5 linked regions of the Ovis aries genome follow. The protein of the gene in region 1 interacts with the protein of each later gene in a pairwise test. Links are inferred from orthologs where the notes say so. Each region holds a gene or a part of one and is shown on either strand. Other genes may lie near its edges.

The links.
Region 2: the proteins of SAT1 (region 1) and HOXB9 interact in binary tests that used the Homo sapiens proteins (3 or more experiments, as listed by UniProt). The two-hybrid records come from large-scale screens. The link is inferred for Ovis aries from reciprocal best matches to the Homo sapiens genes SAT1 and HOXB9.
Region 3: the proteins of SAT1 (region 1) and DIPK1B interact in binary tests that used the Homo sapiens proteins (3 or more experiments, as listed by UniProt). The two-hybrid records come from large-scale screens. The link is inferred for Ovis aries from reciprocal best matches to the Homo sapiens genes SAT1 and DIPK1B.
Region 4: the proteins of SAT1 (region 1) and DMRT3 interact in binary tests that used the Homo sapiens proteins (3 or more experiments, as listed by UniProt). The two-hybrid records come from large-scale screens. The link is inferred for Ovis aries from reciprocal best matches to the Homo sapiens genes SAT1 and DMRT3.
Region 5: the proteins of SAT1 (region 1) and KCNA4 interact in binary tests that used the Homo sapiens proteins (3 or more experiments, as listed by UniProt). The link is inferred for Ovis aries from reciprocal best matches to the Homo sapiens genes SAT1 and KCNA4.

Annotation. Positions count from the first base shown.
Region 1 is NC_056080.1:22,192,360-22,198,179, reverse strand, and holds SAT1 (diamine acetyltransferase 1), read right to left. Parts: upstream 3,417-5,820; 5' UTR 3,238-3,416; coding exon 3,172-3,237; intron 2,941-3,171; coding exon 2,889-2,940; intron 2,801-2,888; coding exon 2,717-2,800; intron 1,231-2,716; coding exon 1,129-1,230; intron 1,036-1,128; coding exon 995-1,035; intron 869-994; coding exon 698-868; 3' UTR 346-697; downstream 1-345. UniProt on the Homo sapiens protein: Enzyme which catalyzes the acetylation of polyamines. Substrate specificity: norspermidine = spermidine >> spermine > N(1)-acetylspermine. This highly regulated enzyme allows a fine attenuation of the intracellular concentration of polyamines.
Region 2 is NC_056064.1:37,601,161-37,605,884, reverse strand, and holds the end of HOXB9 (homeobox protein Hox-B9), read right to left. Parts: intron 3,315-4,724; coding exon 3,079-3,314; 3' UTR 1,376-3,078; downstream 1-1,375. UniProt on the Homo sapiens protein: Sequence-specific transcription factor which is part of a developmental regulatory system that provides cells with specific positional identities on the anterior-posterior axis.
Region 3 is NC_056056.1:2,817,490-2,823,278, reverse strand, and holds the start of DIPK1B (divergent protein kinase domain 1B), read left to right. Parts: upstream 1-2,175; 5' UTR 2,176-2,218; coding exon 2,219-2,281; intron 2,282-2,441; exon of another isoform or gene 2,442-2,482; coding exon of another isoform or gene 2,483-2,611; intron 2,612-5,652; coding exon 5,653-5,787; intron 5,788-5,789.
Region 4 is NC_056055.1:69,237,910-69,243,458, forward strand, and holds the start of DMRT3 (doublesex- and mab-3-related transcription factor 3), read left to right. Parts: upstream 1-2,229; 5' UTR 2,230-2,504; coding exon 2,505-2,955; intron 2,956-5,549. UniProt on the Homo sapiens protein: Probable transcription factor that plays a role in configuring the spinal circuits controlling stride in vertebrates.
Region 5 is NC_056068.1:59,526,556-59,532,414, reverse strand, and holds the start of KCNA4 (potassium voltage-gated channel subfamily A member 4), read left to right. Parts: upstream 1-2,156; 5' UTR 2,157-2,577; intron 2,578-5,693; 5' UTR 5,694-5,859. UniProt on the Homo sapiens protein: Voltage-gated potassium channel that mediates transmembrane potassium transport in excitable membranes. Forms tetrameric potassium-selective channels through which potassium ions pass in accordance with their electrochemical gradient.

The sequences.
Region 1 (5,820 bases):
ATTCCCACCTCTTTTACTGGTGTAACAAATGGGCTTTTTTACTGTGGGGCCTGAGTTTGTAAGCTCTTGAAAATTCTGTTGGGTTAAGTGTACAGTGTCATCAATAGAAGGTCATATTTTATATGTTGCTACATATAAAACCTTGGGATTCAACTGGCTTCTTTCTAGACATTGGGAATACAGGCACAACACAGCTCCTGACCATCAGACACTTTAGACTGGATTAAAAATTCTTTGAAAAAAATTGTAAGGTTATCATGTTTCTTGGGCATTTTTACTTTGTACTCAACAGCAAGAAAAATGACTATGAAATAAAGGATCAGTAAAAATGCTTACACCAGAGAATTAAATCAAAGGGTACTTTATTAAAAAAAAAGAATCAAAACAGAAACTCTAAGTACCAGTGTGTACATTGTACACATTTAAATGACTCACAAGAATGAAGTTTTTTTCATAGACATTATCACACTACCTGTTGTTTATCAAAAGATGTTAATAGAGAAATCTGTCTCCAATCTGTATATAAGATTGCCATCTTAAACAGAACTTATTTCAAACATGCAACAACGCCACTGGTAATAAAGCTTTGGAATGGGTGCTCATTCTATTATTTCACTACAAAGAGGAGAGAAAGCAAGATAAGTTGAGAAGTTACTCTAAATAGAATGGAAGCTGTCATTCTCTACACCAGCACTCCTCACTCCTCTGCTGCCATTTTTAGCAAGTACTCCTTGTCGATCTTGAAGAGTCTCCATCCCTCTTCGCTGGATAGATCAGAGGCACCTCTTCTTTTGTAGAAGTTGATAGATGGTTCATTCCACTCTGCCACCAAGAAGTGCATGCTGCTGCAGCGACACTTCATTGCAACCTGTTACACGGGAGAGGAAAATGAACTCAGTGACAGTGCACCTGCTTTCCAAGACCCAATTTCAATTCAGTCCTTCAAATAATCCAGTAACCCTTGCAAATTTGGAAACCAAACACCAAGACATACCTGGCTTAGCTTCTTCAGAATTTCTGAGCCTATGCCAAAGCCTAAAAGAACGAGAAGTGCCATTTTAAAAAGTCATTTTAAGGACTTCAAGCCCCGATTTCTCTTTAGAGCAGCCCCCCTGAACTCAACCATACCTCTATAATCGCTCATCACAAAGAAGTCCTCAAGATACAACAGTTTGCCAATCCATGGATCATAGGTAAAATAGTACATGGCAAAACCAACAATGCTGTGTCCTGTAATAAGAGTATCACATGAGTTATGGATGAAAAACAATCTGTCAAGGTTGTAGGTGCAAAATCAGAAGCCTATCATAAGTTTAAAAAAATATACATGCATGTATTATAAAAATAAGTAGCCATTGGACCGGACTATCTTCTGACTTTTAGGCTAGTGCAATCCAGGTCACTGTTGGATGATCTCACTGTTCTTAGAACATGTTTTCACAAAAAGCACACGTTAGAGCTAGCCGAACCCAGGCTAAAACCATGGACTGGCCACTTGGCAATCTGTTGGATCTCACACTCAGGAAGTGAGAATGCTTTCATTACTTGCCAGAGTGAAACTGCTATGGTCTTAAACTAAACACACACATTATTCACATCCTATTGATATATTGGTATGTTGACTTGGGAATAAGTCAGGTTTACACGGCAGTTCAGAATAGTAAGTATTTGTAGTTTAGAAACCCTGCTTCCTTAAGGTCAGGACATAAGGCCGAAACAGTAAGGTTTAATTTCAGAACTTGCCTTCCAATTCACACATTTTCAATTTACTTTCCCCAGTGTTTAAGTCGGAAGAAACAGAGGTACTCAGGTATGATGTAACATCCACATACCTCTGGAAAGTACCTCATCCCTTATGTATTTCGCTCATTTTTTTTCTAGCAGGAGGAAATGACCTCAGAACAAACAAACAAAAAAAAAAACCCTTAATCACCCCCCAACCCAGCGCATCAACTTCCCCATTTGGCTTTGTCTTTTGGCCATTCAACAATGACCAGGAAGAAAAACAACGACAAAGAAAAAAAAGAAAAAGAAAAAGAAAAGGAAAAAAGCATCCGACTTCTTCTTAACAGGTGTCTGTAATTCCAATTGGAGGCATAAGTTTCAAATTAAACTTTCTAGCCATCTTATAGTCCTTCCCAAATAGGAAGCGAGTACATTGGAGCTTCTGATCTACCGTGTTTTAAGTGTGTGATAATAGGGCCTTACCTCATTTATCATGATCATCTACTTTATTGTGTAAAGGATCTTTTAGTTACCTCCCCGCCCATCCATGTACACGGAAGGGCCATGTACATGGCGAAGCTAGAGACTGTAACCTGAAGATTGGGACAAATTAAAGAAAAAAATGTAATTTAACACAGATACAAAAAAGGTTACGTTAGGGTCAAACAAGAACCATTTATGAAACTGAATTTACAACAAATGACTTTATACCTAACTTTTCCGGGTCTCCACCGCATTCTGATACTTACATAAACAGCTCAAACTCTTCCGGGTCTCCACAGCACTGATACTTAAAGAGCTCTTTTGACCCGCCCTATTATTAAGTGCAGCACATTTTTTTTTCAGTACTTTGAACACTGGCTGGCTATTATTTCTGGCCAATTTCTCAGTTAAGTAACTTCAGCCTGTGTTGTCAGTGCTTCTACAGAGCGGACTCTACGTCTTACACAACACTCGGTCTCTTCGGCTTCTAGAAGGACAGGGCGATTACCTTCCGGAGTCAGGTGCTCCTTGGGCACTTCTGCAACTAAGCAGTGGTAGAAGGGGTGCTCTCCGAAACCGTCTTCTAGCAGATCTGCAAGAAGGGGAAGCAGAGACAGTGTTGGAGTCGGTGACGGTCGTCCCCCAGACGCTCGTCCCTTGCCCTGCCACTGATGCGTTACCTTTTTCAGTTAACATTACTTGCTCTTCCATGTATTCGTATTTAGCCAATTCCTGGGTTAAGGCACATAAGAAAAAGGAAAAAGGAAGAGAAGCAGAAAATTAAGTGAGGCCCCGGCCCGGACAGCTCGGGGGAAGGGGGTGGGCGGGGCGGGGATTCGTTCCGAGTTTCGCCCGGAGCAGCGCCGCCTGGCCGGGGCTGTGGGTAGGTGGGCGGAGAAAAGGGGACCTGCGGGGTACAAGGACCCCAACTCCGCCTCGGGAGGAGCCCTAGCTTCCCGCTACCTTGATCAGCCGCAGGATGTCACTGCAGTCGGCAGCGGTGGCCGGGCGGATCACGAATTTAGCCATTTTCGTCTTTTGCTTTTCTTCCCTTTGCGGACCAGGCCCCTGTACTTGAACAGTAGGAGGAGGTGGTTCCTCATTCGTCTCCCGGGAGCGTCCTCTTCCCAGTCAGGATGGCACCATGACCTGGCGAACCTCGGCGAACGACGTAAGACAAGCAGCTCTCTGCAACTGGAGCCGCGCGCGTTCCTGCCGCCGGGCTCTCTGCTTTTTAGCCTGAAGAAGCCCCTCCCCGGGACGTGAGGCGGAGGCGCCTCGTCCAATGAGGTCGCGACCGCCCCCTCTTCCGGGCGCCTCCCTCTTTTCCGGGCCCCTGTGTGAACCTGGCCGGCGCGGGCGGGGCGCGGGCGGCGAGGCGCTAGGCTGAGCTCTCTAGCGGCGCCCTCTCGTGGCACGTGGTGGAGGCTTCCCGAAAGTCCGACCGCCCAGCCTAGGCGTCCCCTAAGTGACCTTTGCAAAAGGAAGAGAGAGGTTCCCCTTTGGGCCCTGGACCAATGACTTGACAATTTCTTCTCTGGAGACACCTGGCTTTGAGCGGCGAGGGGATGAGAGGTTTAGAGTAGCGGCTCGCATAGGGTGGTCTGGGGGGCCCTGTGGGTTCCAAGATCATTTCAGAACTAGCTAGCTTCATAGTAATAATAGGGTTTCATTTGCCTTTCTTAGTTTCGCTGGAATTTTCCAGAGAACTGATGTATGATGACGCCATTGCTCTCATGACTAAAGGAATGTGTGCTTGCATGTTCTTGTGTTTTCTAGAATTTCCCAAGGTAAGCTATTTGGCTTCCTCAATAATTCTTTCCCCCTCTGCTGGCAATTTTTAGAGTTAACAGAATATTTTCTTTCTTACTTTTTTCGTTTTCATTTTTTTCTTAAAATCTCTGGCTTTCCTATGAAAACACTTTCCTTTTGCCTGAGGTACACTCCTTCTGACTTGCATTTAGTGAGGGTCCGCTCTTATAACATTTTCTGTTTTGCTTGTCTAAATATGTCTTTCAGTTATCCTGAAGTTCTTGGAGGATTTATTTCACTGTGAACAAATTTGAGGTCGGAAGTTCTTTTCTCTCAGCATATTGATGACATCTATCTTCTGGCTTCCATTGCTGTTTAAAGTTGTTATATTCCCTCCTTGTTCATTCCCTGTGCTTCTTCTCCCCTCCTTTAAAACTTTTTCTTTTGAAGTAACTACAAATTTACAGGATGTATGATGACATCCTTGCTTTGGTGACTAAAGGAAGGTGTGTTTGTATGTTCTCATGTTTTCTAGAATTTTCAAAGGTTAGCTTTTAGAATTTTTCAATAATTTTTAAATGTCTTGAGAGGAGAATGTCTGAGAACAGTTGGATTAGATTATAGCTCTTCCTGGGTTATACCCACTGGAGTAAGTACTCCATCCTTTTGCAGATACAGGTTTTTATTTACAAACCACCTTCCCAGACAGGCCTTCTGAGGGCCCTGCTTCGACTAACCAGCCTGGGTTCCTCACTGAGTCAGAGCGAAAGCATAAAAGGAGCCTGCAGTGTTTTCAGTCTGTAGGTTGGATTATCACCAAATGACCCCTCCCCCAACATTCAACATAACTCTCTGCCTCTGCTCGCAATATCCTGTAGGTAGAAAAGAAAGCAAAAGTAGCTCCCCTTCCCACCCTCTGGGGCTATCATGCCAAGTGAGTCATTGTGAGAGTTTATGGAATGTTTCTCAAACATCTTTAAAAATAGCATTGATTCTCATCTGCCTAAGCCACTTTAGGTAGTGTTTCCTGACACTATTGCACTTGGGATGACCATACATAAGCCCTTCCTTCCTCTGCTTTGTTTTGTGTTGTGGGAAGACCCAGGAGAGCGTGTTACAGAATTAGTACTAACAGTAAGTTAGAACTCTGTGACTAAGCATTAATAATAACTGCCTCCTTGAAGCAAAAACAAGGCCGTTTTCAATGTGGTCTGCTTAGTCTTTTAGAATAATGGTTGTTTGTCATTAAAACACACAATATATGTTTTTCTGTTTATTCTGCTTTTCCGGTTTCAGTTTCATGTTTTTATGCTTCACTTTGCCATTATGACAATAAGAGACCATTCAGAAAAACAGGTGGCTAGAAAAAGCTCATTTATTGTGTTTTTTGCACAAGCTTAGAACCCTAAGAAATGTGGATTTTCTTTATGAATCAAGTTAGGTTTTGAAGAATCTAAGCTACTCCATTTTGTTAACAGAAAAACTCCATTTTGTAAGGTTCCAGGAAAAGAGCCTTTGGAAATCCAAGAGGCTTTGGAAATCCCCTGACCTCACCCCACCGCCCACAACCCAATCGGACCCCAGACCAAAATCTCCTGACTTAACGCTCAGGAACTTGTGGTCTACCTAGACAATAGGGACCAATCAAGAACCAACACACAACCCTTCGAAAGAAAGTGACCGATCAGATGTTCCCCTACCTAGAAATCCTTTTTCCCATGTATACTCCCTATATAAGCAATGTAATCCAAGACCCAGGGCTCCTCCCTATAGTCGCTGCGTCGGTATCGGTGGGAGCCCCAGCTCGAGCTTGGTAATAAAAACTCTCTTGCTTTTGCATCGGATATCGGCTCCCTGGTG
Region 2 (4,724 bases), on another chromosome or scaffold:
AGCCACCCGGGGCTGGGGACCCAGACGCCGCCGCCGGAGGCTTCCCGGGGCGCCCTCGCCCCCCTACCCGGCAGCACTCCGTTCAGTTCCTGCCTCACTTTTTGCGTTTCCTTTTGGCGGAATCTGGCCTTCTCAGCTCCGTCTCAGCTCAGGCTGGCTCCTGGGAGCCCAGGATGAGGAGGGAGCCTAGTCTACGCAAGCTCTAAAGGCAGATTCACTTGATATACCGACTGGAACCCTCGGAGGAGGAGGCGGGTTGGGGCCCCAGCGAACCGGGAGCTTCGCGTTCTCCTGCATCCGGCTGTCTCCGATCTTGCGTTCGCTGGAGAGGGGTAGGCCTGACCTTTTCGCTTCCAGGCCGGTTTCACAAGGGCCAGGCTTTGTCCCCACCTCTATCCCAACCTCAGGGTCTCCGCGGACTGCAGCGCCGTTGGGTGGGCCCGGTGGGAGGCTCCGGCAGGAGTCCGGCGCCCAAGAGCCAGCCCGGCAGAAGCGGAATCCCAGCGCCTGGATGAGAACCGCCTGGCGGCTGACAACAGCGCTCCTCATCTGAGGCTTTGGTGGTGGACGCCGCAGTCTGAGAGGGACAGGAAGGTGCCTTTTGAAACCGAATTTAGTTTTGGGGTCCGATTGGGGAAGGGATTCCCCCCCATCCCCCGCCCCGGCCCGCCCCGCCTCGCCTCAACCATTTCTGTTCGACACACAACCGTCTCTCCCAGCCTGCAGGAGCTGCCTCCCCAGGCCCCACTCCCAACAAACTCCACCCGCATCACACCAAGGCTGCTACCCCGAGGCTCAGGTTGGAGCCTCAGACTCCAGGTGGGGGTTGGAAACCTGGGGTTCACTCTTTTTGAGGGGTGGAAGAAAGGAGAGCCTGGCCTTGTGGAGGCCTCTATTTGCATCCTGTCCGTCTGCAGCAGGGAATAGCAGAAAGAAGTTACTGCTCTCTTCACTTGCGTGACATTTTAAAGTGGCCAAACCAAGGTGCCTTTCTCAGCCAGCTGAGGACCTGCTTCCAGGCACAGCAGGGCAACCTTGCCTTTCCTCTGGCTCTGGAGGTGGTGAGGACGTCTCCAGCATAACTTAAGAGGAAGGTCTCATTGCTCCCTGCAGACCCAGATCCCATCTCTAATCCTTCTTTCCTTTTCTTCCCCTCCAGTCTCCCAGCCCTCCTGTTGGAAGGTTCTTCTCAGTTTAAGCAGAGGTCCTGGGTCCAGACCAGCTCGCAGCTCCTGCAGGAAACCCACCCTACAAAGTCTAAGGAGAAATCTCTTGGGCGCAGCACTTTCTCTTTTTTCCAAGCCACCCTCTTGGCACTAGCACCTCTACTTCTGGTCAGGTGAGGAGAGCCAACACAGAATGACACACGAGAGGCTTGTTGTCTAGAGTGATATATATTTTTTGTTCTTTTTCTTGTTTCTTTTTCTTCCAAAACAATCAGAGCTCTAAGCCCTTCACCCTCCCCACTCCCACCCACAACCCTCCCTTGTAAGCGACAACTGAAAACAGGCGAGACAATCACCCCCAAAGAAATCACAAAACACAGCACAATTTCACGACTGCCACCGACGAAGCAAAAAAAGTTCTACTGGAATGTCCCCTTGCAGGGCCGGGAGAAGCAGGAGCCAGAGTCTATGAATTGAGGGGGGGTTGTAAAGGTGGGGACGCAGGGGGAGGAAAGGAAGCAGAGAGTAAACCCTAGTCTAATGCTTAGGTGCGATTTCGGCCTCTTTCCTTAGCAAGCGGGACTGCTACCCAGCAGCGTGCGCGCGCAGGTCGCCATCCAGGCGGGTCTCAGCGCTTGTGCGCTGAAGCAGCAGCTGCCAAGCCCGAGGCTCCTCCGCAGGGGTCGGACTGGGCAGGACTGGAGGAATAAGTCAAGCTCCGCAAGCCCAGAGTTTTTGCTCCTCCCTGTCCTCCACGACTTGCTCTGGAGAGGAGCCCAGGAATCGATGCACAATAAATTCTCCATCGGGTTCTCCTGACCTGCTTTCCCGCCTAAGGAGGAGTACAGCTAGCAGAGGATGGGGGGGGGGGGGGCGGTGGTTCTACAGGGGCGACTTGACTCGCTGGTGCAAGGTGGACTGGCCTGGCCGAACAGAGTTGATTTCAGAGCTGGGGAGGATGCAGAAGAATGCAGCAGGGCCGGTGTCAAGCAAGAGAGGCCACAGTCTCTGTCAAGCAGGGCACAGATGAACAGGAGGATGACATTGTCAAGGCTTATGACCCACGATCTGACCTCCTTTTGTTGGAAGGATAGGAAAACAACATGCAGAATTAAACATTTCCTGCAGCAAAACGTGTGTATGTGGACTACTTTCATAAAACCTAAGAGACTCTCATAAGACCACCACTGCCTTTCCTTGCCCTTTCTAGCCCACCAGCTGGGGAACTGAGTTTATCCCATTTGGCCTTGAGTCCATGCCTGGGGACAGTTAAGGAGTCCATGGGGGTGATGCTGTGACGCTGGGCCCCTTGAACTGCAGCGCCTCATTCAGGAATGTGTCTCGAGACATCTTCTTGGTGTGTATTGCATTAGGGGTAGACCCTGGACTTTTCTGATGGTCTAGGGGCTATTCTGCCAGATGTGGGGTGTGATGGCACTTGGGGTGTCACTTTGAGTGTTGACTGTGGGCTTTTCCCATTGTTACTGTGGGCTCCAGGCTTTATGCAGGCGGGCGTCTGTTGGGCTGTGTGAAGCTGGAGTGTCCCCGGGTGACTTAGGGATAGGTGCGTGGGAAGGAACAGGCAGGTTGGAAGTGAGGAACTGGGGTTGCCCAGAAAAATTAGGAGGGTTACTAGGGACTCTACTAGGGGTTGTCTTTCCTTGTGGCCCATCACCTTAGGAATCAACTACATCTACCTTCTAAATCAATAAAAACTCCTCCTGAGACCCAGGGAGAAGAGGACAGGTGAGGGCAAAGGAAAGGAGAGAGCCTCTAGATACAGAAGAGGACTTTGAAGAGAAAGATCCCTTCCCCATTCACTTGAATACATCCCAGACAGCACTTGGCTCTGCAGCCATCACTTATAAATAAGTGTGAGATGGAGAAGGGGTGGGGTGGGCTAGGGGAATCTTTACTCTTTGCCCTGTTCCTTATTCATTTTCTTCATTTTCATCCGCCGGTTCTGAAACCAGATTTTGACTTGTCTCTCACTCAGATTGAGGAGTCTGGCCACTTCGTGCCTACGGTCCCTGGTGAGGTACATATTGAACAGAAACTCCTTCTCTAGCTCCAGCGTCTGGTATTTGGTGTAGGGACAGCGCTTTTTCCGGGAAGAGCGAGCGTGCAGCCAGTTGGCGGAGGGGTTGGCTGAAAGAGAAGCAGCGATAGAATCAAAGAAAGGAAAGGGGGTGAAAGCCCCTGTGTTCATCTTCCAAGAGGGTGCCCCTTTGGTCTCTACTCCCCATTTTGCATTAGAGAAAGGGCCACCTGGGCCTTCAGCTCCCAGAAAGGGTCTCAGAGATGGGCCAGGAGTTGCTATAGATACCTCCAGGTGAGAGATCTGGGGACAGGATAGAGCCAAACCTGTGCCAGGCATCCCACAACTTCCAAAGCTTTGCCTGTCCCAGGCGCTCTCTCAGTCTCTTTCTCGGCTTGGGTCAGAACTGGTTAGGATTTGGGTCAGAGCCCAGCCTGGCTGAAGCCCCCTCCCCCACCAGCTCTACAAGACTAGAGGTGGCTGGCTGACTGAGGAGTACTGGCTCTAAGTCTGAGAGGTAAGAGAAGGACTGAGCTAGGGGAGAGGAGAGTGGCTTCTGCCCAGCCAAACTGAGGGACCTCCTGGGCCTCCAGTCCAGTGCACCCTCCTGTCTTAACCACAAGCTTGGGTCTCTTGGCCACATGGCAGCAGGCATATGTATCTATGTGATAGCTCGCCACCCCCCCCAACACCACACACCACAAATATGGTTTGCATTTAGAGACGCAAACATTCAGCACACTCCAATTCACATGCAACCCAATTACAACCATTTATCACCTCCAGCCTGTGGACAAGAGAGCGCTGAGGGCTCACAGATAACTTATGGTTGCAATAGTCTCCGTTTCCGCTCCTGCTCATCTCGCAGTTTGGTTAAAGCAAGTTCAGGGAAATTGGGACGCAAGATTGCTCCAGTCCCAAGGTGGGGAGCCATGGATCATGTGGGGGTAACAGAGGTCCATCACAGCACACCTAAATCCAACTGGCTTCACCCGGTGAGAGGGAACAGAGAAAGGGGAGATTGAGGGGAAGTGGGGGATAAACAGGAAACAAAATATATACAGGCTTCTCTTCTCCTTACCCCTGAACTCAGAAAAGTTGCTAAATAAAGCAGAGTTCATTAAAAATAGCAGCCACCCTCTGCTAGATTCCTTCATCTCAAATGAAAAGCACTGAATTTTTTTTAAGTAATAATAATCTGGTTCATCCTACACTAAGTACCCTGTCTTACCAATTTGCAGTGCTATTTCCTTAATGTGATTGCCTGGGATGTGACCCGAAGTCACATTAAATATGAAAGAGGAAAAAAAAAACTGTTAATAATTGATCCTAGCCAAACTGCTGCCTTGCAATAATGGACTTTCCAGGCAGAGTTTGGGGGCCTGGGGTGGGGGGTCTGCTTGGGTGTGAGTAGGGAGGCTTTGGGAAGAGCCGTGTTACCCAAATGTCAGCTCTTGTGATCCCACCTGGCAGGTTGGAAGGGGTGACCTGAGGGAGTAGGGCAGCTCTCTTCTCTCCAG
Region 3 (5,789 bases), on another chromosome or scaffold:
CAGTCCGCTACAACAACCATCGCAGGGCTCATCTTTTCAACAGAAGTGCTAGAACAATTGGATATCCATGTGCAGAAACCCCCAAACCCCAAGCCAAAACACTGCCTTGATCCATGTGCTGAGTCTCTTCAGTCGTGCCCAACTCTGTGCGACCTTATGGACTGCAGCCCACCAGGCTCCTCTGTCTGTGGAATCCTCCAAGCAAGAATACTGGAGTGGGTTGCCGTGCTCTCCTCCGGGGATCTTCCTGACCCGGGGATCGAACGCACACCTCTTGCATCTCCTACTTTGGCAAGCAGATTCTTTACCACTAGCGCCACCTGCGAAGCCGTGTACCAAAATGAGCTCCCCTGAATCACTGACCCAAACGCAAAACCTAACACTATAAAACTCCTAGAAGAAAACAGAAGAAAATCTTTGTGACCCTGGGCTGAGTTAGGCAAAGACTTCTTAGATTTGACAGGCACAGACAAATAAAAGGGAAAAATGGACAAACTGGACCTCATCCAAATTAAGAACGTGTAGGTCCCGGGGACGGGGGAGCCTGGTGGGCTGCCGTCTACGGGGTCGCACAGAGTCCGACACGACTGAGGCGACTTAGCAGCAGCAGCAGCAGCAGGACTTCCTTGGTAGCTCAGTGGATGCCAGTATGCCTGTCGATGCAGCGGACACTGGTTTCATCCCTGGTCCGGGAAGATTCCACATGCCGTGGGGCAAGTCAGACTGTGAGCCACGACTTCTGAGCCTGCGCTCGAACCCTCCAGCCACAGCTACTGAAGCCCATCCACCTAGAGCACGCTCTGCAGCAAGAGAAGCTGCTGTGATGAGAATCCTGCGCCCGGCAAGAGTCGCCCCCACCCGCTGCAACTAGAGAAAAAACTCAACAAAGAAACAAACAATAACCAAAAAAAAAAGTTGGGCAAAAAGTTTGCATAGACGCTTTGCCAAAGAATATATACAGGTTGCAACTAAGTATGTAAGAAATGGCCAACATCAATTGCCTCTGGGGAAATGCAAATAACCACAAAGAAACTGCACTTACAGGCTCCCCATAGGATGGCTAGAATTTTAAAAGGGTCGAAACCAAGTGCCATGGGAAAGTGGAGCGACCAGAACTCCCACATGCAGGGTGCCTACGCCTACCATGGCATCCCCAGCCTGTATCACCTCAGGGAAAGGGAATGTCCTTCACACAGAACCTTGAGTTCTGACTTGACGGCGGCTCTGCTCCTGATGTCCCAAGCCAGGACCAACTCTGGGGGCCTTCAAGAGGTGACTGACCGGCTAATCGAGTTGGTGCCTGGTGCCCACGCTGGCAAAGAGGGGTGCTGAGCGTCCAGGCCTCTGCCCAGGGACAGAAGCCAGACCTGGAGGCTGCGGCCGCTTTTTTCAATTTTTGTGTCGTGCAGGGGACGAGCCGCAGCTCCCCGGGACTGGGCCCGGCGCGGGGGAGCCTGGAAGAAAGCGAGGCCCGAACTGCTCTGCAGCCTGCAAGTGGGGGTGCCCACGGGCTGTCTGTGCAAACACCGGCACAGCCGCACGGTGCAACAGTGCGTTTTACTGTCTTTAAAAAGCGGGAGAAAGAGGCCAATGCTGCCGCAGTATCCACCGCCCCTCCAGGCCCTGTGGTCGGCGCGGGACCCCACTAGGGGTCTCCCACGACTGTTCCGGGCCCCGGCGCCTCCCGCGCCCCGCGCGTCCGCCCCTGCCCCGGGGGACCTCCGCAGGCTGCCCGGCTCCATCACCCGCCTCTCCTCCACCGAGGGGCGCGTGACGGCCCCCGCCGTGCAGCCCCCTCCCGTGGCGGCCTCGCGGGCGACGGGGGCTCGCACGCAGGGGCTCGTCCGCGCCGCCGGGGGCGGGCCGGGGGCGCGGGGGGGCGGGGCCTCGGCGCCCTCCCCCTTCCCTCCGGGCGCGGAGGGGGCGGCGGGGCGGAGGCGGGGCCGCGGGCGCCTCCCCCGCCCTCCCGCCCTCCCCGCCGCGCCCCCGCGCCGCCCGCCTCGCGGCCGCGCGCCCCCGCGCGCCTCGGCTGCCCGCCTCCCCCCGCCGCGCGCCCCCGCCGCGCCCCCTCCCCGCGCACCCGCCGGGCCGTCAGCGGCGAGCGCTCTGGCGCGGACGCGGGGCGGGGAGGAGGCGCGGCGGCCGATGCGGGCGGGCCGGCCCGCGGGGCTGAGGCCGAGCGGAGGCGAGCCGGGCCCGCGCACGGCCCGCGCCCACCATGCGGCGGCTGCGGCGCCTGGCGCACCTGGTCCTCTTCTGCCCCTTCTCCAAGGGCCTGCAGGTAGGCGCGCCCCCGGCCGGGCCGGCTCCCGCCCCCACCCCTCCCGCCCTGGGGCCCGGGCCGCGGCGGGGTCGCGCGGCATCCAGCCCGGGGACCCTGGGCGGATTCCGGACTCAAGGTCGCTGAGGGCCCGGGTGCGTGGTCCCTGGGGGACCGGGGGCAGGCGGGGCCCGGGGTGGAGGTTGCCGATCGGGTGAGCGGATGCTGCGGGGTTGGCCCCAGTGCCTCTGGGGCTGCAGAAGGCCCCCGCTCCGCCGCGGGCCGGAACTGCTCCCGCAGGCCCCGAAGCCACACCAGGTCCGCCCCGCTTTCCTCTACTTAGGAGACCAGGTTTGTCTTTCTGTGATGGAAAACTTGGGACCCGTAGAAGCACCCTAGGAAGGGCGTACCCTCCCCCTGGGTCATCCCCCAGCCAGCCCGAGAAGAGGAGTGTGCCCTCCCCACAGTGACCTTGGACAGATCCCCGGCCCTCTCGGGACCCTGCTGTCTGCAGGGGAGGCCCAGGCTGCTCTGGGGGCCGCCTACCGTGATCCCTGTCATGGCTGCTTGGGGTGGTCTGAGCCGGGCTGAATGCGAGCCTCAAATTATTCAGGCCAAACCTGCCACCTTCACGACCCCAGGCCCTGGGCAGAAGGAGACAGCCCTGGTCAGACTCGCCCGCACCTCCCTGGAGTCCCCTCTGGGGAGAAGGGTGGGAGCCAGGTAATGCACTCAGGAGTTTGCGCCAGAAGCCCCCCTGCCATCCAGGGGTCTTCGGGGGTAGTGATCTCCACCCATCTCTGGGTCGGGTGGGAGCTGAGGGTCTGTGGCCTCCCCCACGCTGGGAGGTGGGGGTGCAGCAGCCCCATCCTGAGGGAAAGGGCTTGACCGACCAGGCCAGTGTGGCAGGTCTTGGACTGGGGGTGTCAGGCCTCTGAGCTCAGCCTGGGAACGGCGAAGGAGCCTGGACAGGAGAGGTGATGGGCTCCCAGTGGCTTGGGTTGGTTCCCAGACACCCGCCTCCTTAATGAGAGGAGACACCCTGAGCCTCAGTTTACCACATGTGAAACACACTCCTGTGTTGGTGGTGAGGGGTGGAGGCCACGGTGTACGTGGGCCCCTGGCCCCGAGGCTGCTGGTCATCATGCTGTCTGTGTCCCCCGAGGGACCCCCCAAGTGCTCCACTAGGAGCCAGGCAGTCTGGGGGTGCGGGGAGCCGCCGACTAGGGCGCACTGAGTGAGCTCCCCCTGTCCTGGCGGCATGCTCACCCTTGGGCGTCAGGATGCCACAGGGGCAAGGCAGGGCAGGGGGTAGGGGCAGGGACTCCCCTCGGAGGAAGTGCCTGCCTGCGATGATCAGGGCCTGGGGGTCTCTCAGAGCTCGGCGCTGGGGACGGTGTCCATGGAGCGGGGCCGCCACGGGAAGGCCGGAGCTGGAGGGGCTCTGGCGGGAGCGTGGGCCGTGTCCGAGGTGGGCCCTGCGGTCAGGCCGCGAACCTGGGTCTGGCCCAGGTCAGCCCCTGGGGCCAGTGCAGGCGACAGCCCGCCCTTGTCCCGCCTATCCCCCCAGGGCGGTTGGCAGTCCTCTGGCCTCCACCTGTCCCCCCAGGGCGGTTGGCAGTCCTCTGGCCTCCGCCTGCCCCCAGCCGCGCCCCTGGCTCCCCGGCCCCCCACCCGCTGGCCTGCTTTCCTGCTTCTCCCTTTGAACAAAACTGGCAGAAGCAGATGTGGTGGCAGGACCAGTGGGCCTGCGACCCAGCCCTGCGACTCTGGCCAGGGCCACCCCGGGCCTCCGCGGCTCCCAGCCGCACCTGCTGCAGCGCCTCCCTGGGCGGCCGGGGGATTCCGCCAGAGGAGCAGGAGGGGAAGGCCCTGCCTCTCCTGGAGGAACTGTGAAAACTAGCGCAGCTGCCTGACCTGAGCCTGGAGGCCTTGCCTCGTCCCCAGGGGAGAGCCGCTGGCCCCATTTCTGGGCCCCAGCCTCCGATGAGAAGCCCAGGGCTGACCAGGACTGGAGCCACCCCACTGACCCAGGGGTGGCAGGATGTGTGACCAGTGCTGGTAGAGGCCCTGCTCTGGAGCCCCTTGCTCTCCCGGGCCCTCTTCTCTGAGGCTCAGCTGCCCCAGTCAGGGTGTCTGAGCTCTTCCACGGAGCAGTGCCTGGTAGCTCTGGCCCATCAGCTGACTGCTGCTGGGCAGCAGCCATTGAGGCCGTGATTTGCCAGGACGGGGGTGGGGAAGGAAGCTGATGCTCCTGCAATCCTGGCTTGGGGGCTGGATGGGAGACAGTGCCCCCCAGTTCCTGCAGGGCTCTGGGTCCCCCCCACCCTGTGATTCCACTCATCAGCCTGGGAGAGCTGCTCTCCAGAGAAGCAGTTCCTGGCCCACCCCACGCTCCTGGGACGGAGCCTCTGGCAGCGGGGCCAGGGGCTGAGTATCTTGGTTATCTCTTCTCTATTATGGTAAATTTCACATCGTGTGAATTCAGCATCTCAACCGTTTTTTAAGTGCACTGTTCAAGGGCATTAAACACATCCCCGTTGCTGAGCCACCACCACCTTCCATCTCTAGAACTCGTTTCATCTTCCCAAACTCAAGCACTCAAGCTCTGTCCCCTTCAAACACTCACTCGCCATCCTGGGCAGGCCCCCCTTTCTCCCCACCGCTCCCCGTTGTCCCCACCCTTCCTGTGTCTGTGGATCTGAGTCCTCCAGGTTGTTGCCTGGGTGGAGTCACACAGGATCTGTCTTGTGTCTGGCTCATTTCACTGGACATGATGTCCTGCTGGGTCATCCATGCCGTAGCCTGGGTCGGAGTTCTTTGCCTTTTCATGGCTGAACACCGTTTTCGTGTGTGGATGGGCCGTATCTGGCTTGCCCGCTCCCTCCTCAGTGGGTCCGCGGGTTGTGTCTACCCTTTGGCTGGTGTGATGGGGGGTGTGCGAGGCTGGGTCCCTTAAAAGCTCACAGGGTGACTGCGCCTCCAAGCCCTGGGCTCCCTGCTGGCCTTGGTCCAGCCTGAAGTCTTCCCCAGTGGGAGGAACCTTGTGAAGGGTGCCGGCCCAGCGTGAGGGGCCCGGGGTGGGGGGTGTGCCTTTCCAGCCTGACCTTCTACAGAGGTTACGTCATTATGAAATGACGGCAGGACAGGAGGAAAAAATTGTTCCAAATCTCTTTATTCAGCAAAATAGAGTTGTCTGCCCTAAATCCTCCTCATTTGGAATTTATTTTTCCCTGCCTGTGAGATTTCAAGGTCTGGGAGACACCAGGCCCCTGCCTTGCACCAGAGTGGGTGAGCGGAGTGGGAGGGAGACACTGACCGGGGCGGGGCTTGGGGGGCTGGGGGCTGGGAGGCCAGGTCCGCTGTACTTCTTCACGCCCCCTCCCCCGCAGGGCCGGCTCCCAGGCCTGAGGGTCAAGTATGTCTTCCTCGTGTGGCTGGGCGTCCTCGCAGGCAGCTGGCTGGCCTACGTGCACTACTCGTCCTACGCGGAGCTCTGCCGCGGCCATGTCTGCAGAGTCGTCATCGT
Region 4 (5,549 bases), on another chromosome or scaffold:
CTATGTGCACTGGAGTGAAACAGGGCCCCGGGGACCAAATAATGCAAGACTGTTTGAGTGGCAAAGGGATAGGGTGACTAGGTGACTGAGGGAGAGTGGGTCGCCTTGTAGTGGAAATGTCCCCCAAACCTGGTGCTGAGCTCTGCTGCTTTCCTTAAAAAAAAAAAAAAAAAAAATTCATTACTCTCAGGTTTCTTATACTCCTGGTTTTGCTAACCATTTGTTTGAAGGAAATATGGGAGAAATCTGGCTTTGAAAAGTTTGTGGTCTCTGTATTTCCAAGAGATTTAGAGATTTCAGTGTCCCAGATTCAGTGTCATTCTAGGCCTTCTATGTGTTTCTCACTGTGAACTTCCCACTTCCAAGCCTCTGGGCCACCGCGCTGCGGGTGACCCAGGCCTCCAGTCCCGAGAATTTTTGGAAGTTCCTCCCAGTTGTAGTGCCTTAAGGCTTGTTTTCCTCGCGAAGTTTGGGAGGAGAGATTGATGACGTGGTGGGGGTTAGGAGTAAGACTAAGGGGTCTGTGCCCTAAGAAGTTTTGGAGGCAAGCCTCCTAAGGTTAGCAGTCTCTTGCTGGGGGTTCCTTTCTGCGCCCCACGAGGGCCGCAGGTCTGAAATGGGGAAGGTGGGGGGCAGCCAAGGGCCTCAAGGGCAACATACACAGTCAGGTTCACTTTTTAACCTACTCTCCTCCCGGAATCGCCCTTTTAGGCGGAGGGTTGGCTGCTGGAACGCCTGGTGGTACTTGAATTCACAGCACACACACGGACGTTTTCGGGTTGTTCGTTTGCTTCCAAAGCAGTGCAGAATAAAGCTGAGAGGCGCCGACCGGTTGACCATTGCAGCCGACTGGTCTACGCTCCGGATTCGCATTGGATTCGTCCAGACCGCCAAGAGATGAATTCAGGGTGCTCTCTGAAGCCTGCCTTCTGAAGACGGCTCCGGGATTGCCATCGCGCCTCTTCGCACTGAGCCGTTGTGCTACCCTGCGCCGCAGTAACCACTGCTTTTCTTGTTTTCTCCCATTAGGGGAGCATCTCTGTGTGTTTGCGGAGGTATTCTGCTTTAGGCCATAACCCATACACACAAGTATCACTTTAAACAAAGTTTTACAGTCATCTGTGCAAAGGCCCTCTCCCACCCAAAGACACTGGTGTGGGGGTGGGGTGGCCCCGTCCCTTATTCATAACTAGATTGCTGAGTCCGTGGGCATTTGAATGGGGTGATGCGAGACCTCCGTTTGATTTCTCAAAGACCGTTGGGCAGGGTTCAGATCATATGCGGTAACTTGGGGGGCACTAGCGTGGCCCCTTCATTCGCTCTCTGAAAGTTTAGACCCAGTGCTTAAACACAAACTCCAAAAGAGCATTTGCCGGCTTTTCAGAACAGAGACTTTATTTTTTGTTACAACGTGGAGGTGTAGAAAGGTAAACTGCGCCACAGAGGGAGGACTATTTTCCCCTTTGAAACAGCCTGCAAAACGGGTCGTCATCCTTGGACCAGCAGGTTTTCAAAAGCATTTTCTTCTGCAGCGGCAAAAAGAAAAAAAAAAAAAAAACTTTGCAAAAAGAAATCAAGAAAGCCCCCATTTCTCGAACCAGTTCAAATGCCCTACCCCCAATTTCTCCAGCCAGTGGCCGCAGGACCTGGCTCCCCGCAACATAAAACCTCTTCTCGCGCCGGGACCCTAGTGTATCCGCAGCGCTCAGATAGGTTCCGGATCTCCCCGAGCCGTGTTTCTGTGGCCAAGTGTGGGAATGAAAGCCGCCTTGGGCCCGGTGCCGCCAAATCGGGCCTGGAGGGAGGCGGGAAGAGAGTTGAAGGGGAACTGCCACCCGCCTCGCCCAGAGGCACCCTCACCCTCATCCGCGCTGGTCCTCCCTTCCCCGCCCCGCGGGCGCTGCCGCGTCCCGAGTGCTGCAGTCCCTCCCTTGCAAGCAGGAGAGGCGCAGGGAGCGCGGAGGAGGGGGCCGTGAGCGCCCCCGTGAGAGTGGCCCGGCGGCAGGTAGCAGGGAGAGTAAAGCGCAGGGTCTCGAGAGGCGCGGGCAGGAGGAAGGAGGCGTGGAGTGGAGTGGGGTGGAGAGTGCCAGGAGACCGGGACCCCGAAGGTGGGGGTGGCGGGGGAGGGAGGCGGGGGGAGGGCGGCAGAGGACGTGCCGGCCGGTCTGCGCGCGGGAGCTGCGGACGAGCCGCTTCAGACCTTAACCAGAGCTCTCGCCGGCTCCCGGCAGCCGCCGCCGCGCCTCGGCCGCGGAGGACGTGCCGGCCAAAGGAGCGGCGGGAGGAGACTCGGCCGACTCGGGAGTAGGGAAGCGCCCGTCGGGAGCCGTAAAGACGGCCGCGGCCCCTCCAGCCACTCCGAAGCGCTCAAGGCCGCCTGGACTGCGGGGCCGAGGACTGCGCCGCCCGGAGGCCGCTTTGGAGAGGGCCTCTCAGCCCCGCCGTCCAGCGGCCCCGTACCGGCTCCCGCCGCCAGCTTGCCAGCTCTGTCGGGAGCCCGGGGCATGAACGGCTACGGCTCCCCCTACCTGTACATGGGCGGCCCGGTGTCGCAGCCGCCGCGGGCGCCCCTGCAGCGCACGCCCAAGTGCGCGCGCTGCCGCAACCACGGCGTGCTGTCCTGGCTCAAGGGCCACAAGCGCTACTGCCGCTTCAAAGACTGCACCTGCGAGAAGTGCATCCTCATCATCGAGCGGCAGCGGGTCATGGCGGCGCAGGTGGCGCTGCGCAGGCAGCAGGCCAACGAGAGCCTCGAGAGCCTCATCCCCGACTCGCTGCGCGCCCTGCCGGGACCCCCGCCGCCGGGAGACGCCGCCGCCGCCCCGCAGCCGCCGCCGACCTCGCAGCCGTCGCAGCAGCCGTCGCGCCCAGCCGCCGAGTTGGCTGCGGCCGCCGCGCTGCGCTGGGCCGCCGAGCCCCCGCCCGGGGCGCTGCAGGCGCCGCTCGCCAAGCCAGGTAAGGGCCGCGGCGGGGCCGGGCCGGGCTTGCGCCCGGTCGGAAACACTTGGAAGCAGCCCTGGAGGCTTTGGCCGGCAGGCCCGAAGGCGAGTGTGGCGGGAGTGGGCTGGGCGCGACCTTACCCCCCAACTCCAGCCAAGCCGGTCCTTACTCCCTCGGCGGAAGCGGCGTTCAGTCTGGACCCGGCGAGGTAGGAGGTGGAACCGAGGTGCCCTCGGGAAAGGCGCCTCGGGCTCGCCAAGTGCCTTCTCTAAGTTTAAGGGGACGGGTAGATAAAGAGGTCGAAACAGGACCAGATTAAAATCCACGCGGGCGCACACACTCCAGGCTTTTCGACTGTAGGCTTGAGAGGCCTCGCATCTGGAGGTTGGGACGGGAGGGCAGAGAAGGAGCCCAGGCCCACGGTTTGGCCTACTCTGGGCGATTTTCTCGGCACCCGGCAACTGGAGCGAACCTGAAGCCTTTCTAGTCTGCTGTGGTCTCCAGCCTTGTGCAGTTTGTTGAAGGAAGCCTTGTTTAGAAGCAAGAGTAGAAAGGGACCAGAAAGACTCCCAAAACTGTTAGCAGGGACTCAATGTGGTGCACCCAGAGCCAGCCAACTCCTTTTGCAGGAGTTCAGGTCCTGTAATACCATTTCGCAGGCAGTCCTCTGCAGTCTGCCGTTTTAAAGAAAGACAAAACCTGAGCTACAGTGAGGAAGGCCACGCCTGGAGAGCCTTTTCCCCAGTTCTCCGTGGGCCTGGGCCTCCTGCGGCCCTCTCCTCTCCTCTTCCCCCTCCGCTGTGTTCTAGAGAGCAGGAGTCTGCCCTGAGTCCTGGAGCTGCGCAGATCCCCCTACCCACCTTTTTATCCAGTTCCCTCCTTCAGGCCACCAAAACCTTGCACACCCCACTGGAGCCTTTCCTCCTGGAGACTTACTAGCTTGTGACTGTCCTGCCCAACCCAAGTGCTCCTTTGGTTTTTAACCCCTTGGAATTCAGTGGACAGGTGTTTGGTGTTTCCCTTTCACTGGGGGCAGATGTGCAAAGGAAAGAAACCCCATCTTCTCAGGGAGAGGGTTGAGAGGTATGCTGGGACTCAGAGGTGGAAGGCTCTCGAAGGACCAAAGCCCTCCTGTGGGTGGAACTAATGGTAGAGCTTCCGCCTACCCCTAACTGCCTCCCCTCCAAAATGCAATACTTCTGGTTTCTGGAGAGAGGCTTTCTGGAGCACTGGATTGCTGGGTGGAGCTGGGGACATGCCATTTCTTGGGGATAAGCTGGTAGGCCGCCTGGCAGGCTCAGTTCTGCTGCCCTGTTCCTCAGTTATGCTCTGCAGACCCAACCTCTGAGAACATCTTATGTGAAGAGCAGAACTGGGTGTTTAAAGACAGAAGTGAGTTTGCTGAACGTGGCTTTTGTGACTGTTTAATCCAGGGTAGGATGGATATAAGCCTTTCCCTGAGTATGTCTACTCACTTCCTGGTGACTCTCTCTTGTCAGTGTGATCTCATGTTTCACAGAGGAGTCAGAGGGGAGGGGAAAGAACCTTTTTCTCTTTTAAGTTAGGGCAGGTAACTAGGACAGTTTTGTCTCAGTTCTCAAAGTTGATCTATGCCGGTGAATTTTCTGAACCTTCCCATTTCTACTTCCTCTGTCTCCATTTCCCCTAACACTCGGGCAGCATTTGTGATAGTGCAGGCAGCACCCCCATAATAGTGCATTGGGTTCTGGGGTCCCTGTCCAAGAGGGGTTTGGTTCCCTTCACATCCTGTGCTCTTCACACCTGTTCTCTGGGATAGCCAAAGTTCACTGTTTCAAAAGCATCGAGACCAAAAACAGCCCTGAGAGGTGGGGAGTGAGGGCAGCCAGAAAGGCGGAGCAGCAGCAGCAACAGCTGGAGAAAGATATAAGCTTGGGGTGAGACTGATTGCAGCCAGACACACCAAGCCTGGTATGCTCTCTTTCACTGGGAACCAAGATAGCCTCAGCCTTTCAAATTGAAAACCAGTAATTGCAAAGGAGAATAGGATTTGACACAAGAAGAGGTCAGAGTGATGGCTTTGGGGGACTAAGCTGTCAGGGACCAGCAGCTCAGTTTACAGCTAGTCCTGCTGTGTACCTTGCACATCTTATTTATGTAACTTTTGTTTTCTTCTTTCAGTTGGTTCGATCCCATAATTCCATTTAACACCAACAAAAAAGTCAGTCACCAATCTGATGACGATGAGAGAGGGCAGGAAAGGACTAGATAGTTTTCCACTAGGAAGGCAGGCACACAAGCGGATCAGCTCTATGCAGTGCTTTATACGGAGAAAGCCCATTTGGGATTTAAGTTAGAGAGAACTGCTTGGGTGGGACTGCTGGTTGCTGTACGTATTTTTTTGCAGGTGTTCTTAGGATTTATTTGTATGTAACATGCATATTGAGAAGCCTGTTAGGTATGGTCCTGGGCAAGTAGCTCACTGCTTAGGGAAGTTAGCTCACTTCTTAGCTCACTACTTAAGCACTATTTGAATTGTAGGTCCACATGTACAGTAAGTTCACAGACCACTGGTGGGTGGTAGTGGTTTAGTCGCTAAGTCCTGTCTGACTCTTGTGATCCCATGGACT
Region 5 (5,859 bases), on another chromosome or scaffold:
ATATTCCATGGACAGAGGAGCCTGGTGGTCGCAGTCCATCGGGCTGTAAAAAGTTGGACAGGACTAAGCAACTATTGGGCATTTTAAACTTTAAAATTCTCTGGGCAGTGATAGGAACCAACAGTAAGTGGCATGCGGAAGCACACATGGAAGCGGTGGAAGCATGTGGAAGTTTTAATATGATCCAGTTAAAATGTCCAAGCTTCAGTATACATGTTCTCTTTTGTGTATTGTTCAACCTCAGTTTTCATCTCCCTGAAAATACAGCTGCTTTTTTTGATCTCAAGATCCTATGCTCTCAACCCTGCCTTTACCATCCCAAGAAATATCCTTTTGATGAGATGATAAACTTAATCATCTGCTTTTGGCACAGTGACTACCCCACATTGTGGAGTAGAGAGGGGATCTGGGACCGGCACCCTGGATGGTTTCGAGCATTTGGAGTAATCCACCTTACCTACTTTCTGAAATGGATGATAGTGGGGCATGAATGGAGACAGAGCCTCTCTATCCGGGGAGGAAGCACCATTCTCTCAATTCTTCCACCTGCGGTTGAGGCCAGAGGATCATGGTACGTTTGTTCACAACACAGGTTCTAACTTTTGTCACTACCTGGAAGAAGTTAGGAAAATCAGACCTCATATCAGTTAAATTTATTTTTTTTTCCTTTTCACCGAATACAATGTGATTTTTTTTTTTTTTAGTTATTTAAAAAGATCCAAAAAATTAAACAGCAACGAAATGCAGTCCTGATAGTGTCCTTCGCCAAGCCAGCAGCGGTTAGGTGAGTGAGCAGAGGGCATATCTATAATTCAGTTCGGGAATATTTCTGTTAATAATTAATAGAGTGCCACAAAAGGAGGAGGCCCAATTGGGCCCTCGAACAAAGCTGCCAGCTGAGGACGACAGTGGTCGCCTCGGAGCCAACTGACCCGCCCAAGGTCGGATTTGCTCCAGCAATCCGGGCGCGCGCCACCACTGCCAGCTTGGCCACAGGGGGAGCCGGGAGAGGTGCCAGGAGCCCCGCCGCCACTGAGCGCGCGCGCGTGTATGTGTGTGTAAACTCTCACTTCCCACCGCTAATCTTTCTTTTGGCATATTTATGAGAATTGCGTGTTAACATCCACGTCCAGGGGGCACTTCACAAGGCAGCCACCAAATAAGCAATCTGGAGTCCATCGGGGGTGAGGAGCCGCTGCGGGCGCACTCGCCCCTCCACGAGGTGTTGGGGTATGTGGGGGGAGTGCTTTTTTTGTTGTTCAATGGAAGTGGGTGGCATTGGAGATCCGACCACTAGGACAGAGATCTCCCGGGAGCCAAACCTCTCGCCAACGTATTTCTTTTTGCAACAACAGGTTCCCCGAGGGCTGGCCCCGCCGCCGGGAAGGACTGGCAACCTGTTCGTAGACCTTTGACTCTCCTAACTCGGACCTCAGCCTCCCTTTCGTAGCCCTTGGCCTGGGCCCGATTCGAATTTCAGTAATCCTTCCCTTCTCCGAGTCCAACACCTGTGTAAAGTCGGTCTCCTCCGCGCCGGAGACTTCCGACCCCAGAGTTGAGGCCAACAAACTCCCCACAAGGAGGCGGAGACCGAGGGGTCTGGGCGCGCTTGCGGGCGACCGGACAGCTCCGGGCTGGCGGCCTCGCCAGGGATGCCCCCGGGGTTCCCAACCCCACACACTCGTTATGATGCCGGGCTGGGGGGGCTGTGTGTTTGCAGCGGGGTGGGGTGGTGGGTGGGGTACCGGGGGAGATGCAGAGAAAACGCTTCAGGAAGAGGAGAAGACACCTAGAAGCACCTTGCGGTCGAGCCTGGACCTGCCGCCGAAGTCACCTCTTCCAGCCTCTCCTGACGTTTCTGCCCTGCCGTCGGGACCCCATTTCAGCTTCAAAGGGGACACCTCTCCCTCTGCGATTAGCTCCTCGCCCCTGGGGGCCCCCATCTGGGGACCCTGGAACGCTGCCCACTGGCTCCCGAGAGCTTCGGCGACTGGGGGCCAGGCCGGGGGCCGGGCAGCCGCGGCGTCGTGACTGCGCCCGCCCCGCCGCGCCTGGAGGCGCCCCTGGCGACCGCGGTGAACGCCCCACCCTCGGACGGCCCTGGCCCCGCCCCCGGCCGGCGCGCGCTCCCGGCCAGGGGAGGCGTGTGCTGCTTCAGCAGCCAGCGAGAGAGCGAGAGGGATGGATATTGGAGGAGGAATTCGGGCTTAACAAGTGATCGCTGCTGTCTAGGATATATATTTTTTTTTCTGGGGAACCTTGACTTTTCCCTGTCGAGCCCTTCTGTGCTGAACTCCAGAGGAAGCAGGAGTCTTGGGGTCTTCCCTGGGGCAGCCCTGATCCTTACCCCCCGGCTCCAGCAGCTAGGACTCTGTGCCCTCACGCCCCCACCCCCCGCCCTCGACCAGGCAGTAGAACTTGTTCCGTGGATATTTGGGAGCTCCCACCTGCCACACCGGAGCGATTCCTTCCACCCCCAAGATCCTTCTTCCCCTCCTCCAGCTGTTGCAGCTTGAGGGTGAAAAAAAGCAAACCGGGGATTTTCTTTATTTTTATTTTGCACCCCGCCTGGGAATGGTAAGTATGACACCTCTCTTACCTTTCCTCTCCTCTCCTCTTTGGCTATTAAGAAACAGTGGACATTTGAGGGATAAATAATATCGAGAATGTGACAGAAGGGCATGAATGGAAGACGGTTAAAAATAAAACAGGAGGTGGGAGAAGGGAGGTGCAGATGCTGCGCGGCGCTCCGGGGGGCCAACAGTTGTTATTTTCCCAACCCCGGGGATGGGGTGCGTGCGCCCTGGTTAATGTGCCCGAGCGGGAACCTAGGTCTGGAGGCGAGGGCGCGATTAAAGATGTCGTTTCCCAACGAGGTGGGGTTTAGATTTAGCATCGTTTTGTCTCATCTCAGACTCACCGGTTCTATTTCTTTGAGAACAGCTGGTGAAGGGGTTTGAATTGTTGCTTCTCCCAACATTTGGGGTTGAGTGCGTTTTCTGAGCATTTGAGCAATACATAGAGACTATATAAATGGCGTGCGTTGAAGTGTGTATTTCTCACGGTATTGGCCCTTGGAATTCTCTCAATCTTTTTCTCCTTTTCTCTCTCTGATAAGGTTCAGGTACCACCCTACAGTTGCAGGAATTAGCACTGAGTGAGGAAAACAGCCTTGTTGTTGGGGGTGGGGTGGGAGGAGGAGGGGCGCGATGCTTGACTCTTGTTTGGGGGCGCAGGAATTGGGGAATAGGTAGTCAGCAAAATTCTATTAGTTCGTGGTGTTAAAGAGGAAAGGATATTCCCCTGCAAGGTCTCTTCATAAAGTCTCCTGCAAGGTCTCCCTCATAAAGTCTCCTGAGAGTCAGCTTCAGCAGATTCTCCTAACATGAATACCTTGAGGGGAGAAGGAAGAGAGATTGTAAACTAGTCTGATTTGCTGGTTGGAAGGATTTTTTCATCTTTTTTCTTTTCTTTCTTTTTTCTCCCTTTTTATAGACTCTTCCTCCTCTTCTTCTAAGATGAGAATAGTGAGATAACTGGTAACAAATTAGAAGGACGATAATTTGCTCTATGTACAGTGGAGGAGGGAGTTAAGTAAACAAAAAAAATTAACAAACCCAAGTAAAGAAGTAAGTAAATAAGAAACTATTTGGTGTAAAGAGGGCAAGTCTAGCTCTCCTGCAGAGTTGATTGTGAATTAGAAGACCCTCTAACTCATGACCTTCCGGGAGTCAGTTCCTTTGGTGGAAGAGGGGGTGTGCGTAGTATAAGAATTCACAGGCGCTTTGGTTACACTGGGGCTGTATTTAACTAGTGTATTATAACTGCTTTGAGGGGGTTGGGGAAGAAACTGAGGAAACTCTCAGGCTGTTCGGCTTGTGGAAGTCTTTAAAGGATGTTGGCCTGACCCTCCACAGAGAAGATAGATATTTGGAGACCTTGTGAGAGTGAGCATTTCAGAGTAGAAAATGATCCTGGGAGTCAGGCAAAGGAGGACACCAAACCAGAAAGCTTCAGAGGTGTATTTTCTAGGTTCTTTGTCCCAGTCAATCTCACTTCTTGTCCTGGGAGAATGTGATTGATCTGGAAGGGATGCATGATCCGAAAGACTTTTGTTTGCTGCTTCCCCAACTGTTACTTGATAAAACCTGGGTGTGTTTAGTCTTCTAGGCCAACAGGATTCAGCAGCAGGTGGTCAAGAGGTGGGTCCTGTTAATGGCTCCAGGAAGCCATTTCTCTTATGCTCCCCAAGAGCTCCCGGTAACTGAGGTTGGTAGCTGCCCTGAATCCTGGCTGTTGTTATCCTCCCCAATTCTCTGGGTCACTCTACATTCTTGGAAGTCTTGTTGGACCCAGGGAAGGGAAGACGCAAGAGGAGACAGGAGAAGCGAGATTAAGACAGGGACATTTACAGGTTCTGGCAGAGGAGATGAGTTAGTTGGACCTACAGAGAACAAACTAAGGAAGAATGAAGGTCAGGAGTACTAGGTGACAGGGAGAACAGGAGAGGGCTGCAGGGAAGATGTGATCAGGAAGTGGCAGATTGGAAATAAAGGGAAGGAGGGAGGGAGGGAAAAGAGAGGGGGATTTGGGCCATAGAAATTATGGGTAAATTATAGGGAAGAACGTATCATAGGCTGAAAACAAAGTACATACAAACTGGGATTTGAAACATAAGGAGACAGTCCTTGAGCAAAGTGTAGGAGGAAGCATCAAGGTGAACATGGGGGAACTGCAAGGAGAGTAGATGATTATTAGAGAAGTGGAAACTGGGATTAGCTCCTAGGTTGTGGGTGGTAGGGCGTGTTCTGGAGTCTGGGGAACAGAAAAACAACAACAGGGACATGCTTCAGGGAGTTAGGGAATGCCAACTTAATACAGACCATTCGCGAGCCTCAAAATGTCCTGGATGACTTCATGTTCTGTCCTTCCCCTGCTTTGACAGTGGTCTAAGGATATATGCATTTGGGGGTGGGGAGATTGACCATAAAGTATTATTATGTTATTAATAACTGCAAGCCTTTATTGATATTCCTCACATACAAGGTACTGTGGTGTTCTGTCAACATCAGTTATCTCATTTAATCCTTACACAAGTGGTATGGGAGAGGTTGTATTATTATCTGCACTTTGTAGATGAGGTGACTGATGCTTGTTCGAGTGGTGGAACCTGGATTAAAGAAAACTGGTTTTTCCAACTCCTCTAATCCTGAATCAAGTCAGAGGGGTGGAAGGCCACTGAATTCAGAAATACTTGATGAGTGGAAATTTGAAAAAAATGCCTTGAGATCAATGAATGATGGAAACAGCTGTAAAGTGACAACATTGTTATTGTGGAATGAAGAGGGTGACAGTGAGAATTAAGACCTAGCATGAGTGAAAAGGCGGACTGAAAGAAGAACCATATGGGTCGAGAGTGGAGAGAGGAAAAATAATTAAATTATGATGAAAGTAGACAGTGCTGAAATGATAGCCAAAGAAAAAGGATAGAAGGATATTTAGTGAGAAGGAGATTTAACAACCTGCCCCATTACTACTCCTTGGAAATTTATAGTCGCTTTGGTGCTTTATATAATGGCTTGCTTGCTTGAGGAGAAGAGAAAGAAGTGTATGTAAAAGAAATACTCAGGTTGCTCTTTATTATTTGATTCTTTTTATTTTTCTCCCATGCTTGTTTCCCTTCCTTTTTCCAGGTGAAGTGGCTTCTTCTGCATGATTTTAGCTGAAGGATGCTCTGCATTTCCTTGATTTCTATGGAGACCTCAGAGCTGGGCTTGCCCCCCACTGACACCTCATCTTGCATCTACTCTACCTCCCAAGGTCTTTGCCTCTACAGCTAGCTCAACATTGCCCCTAGGT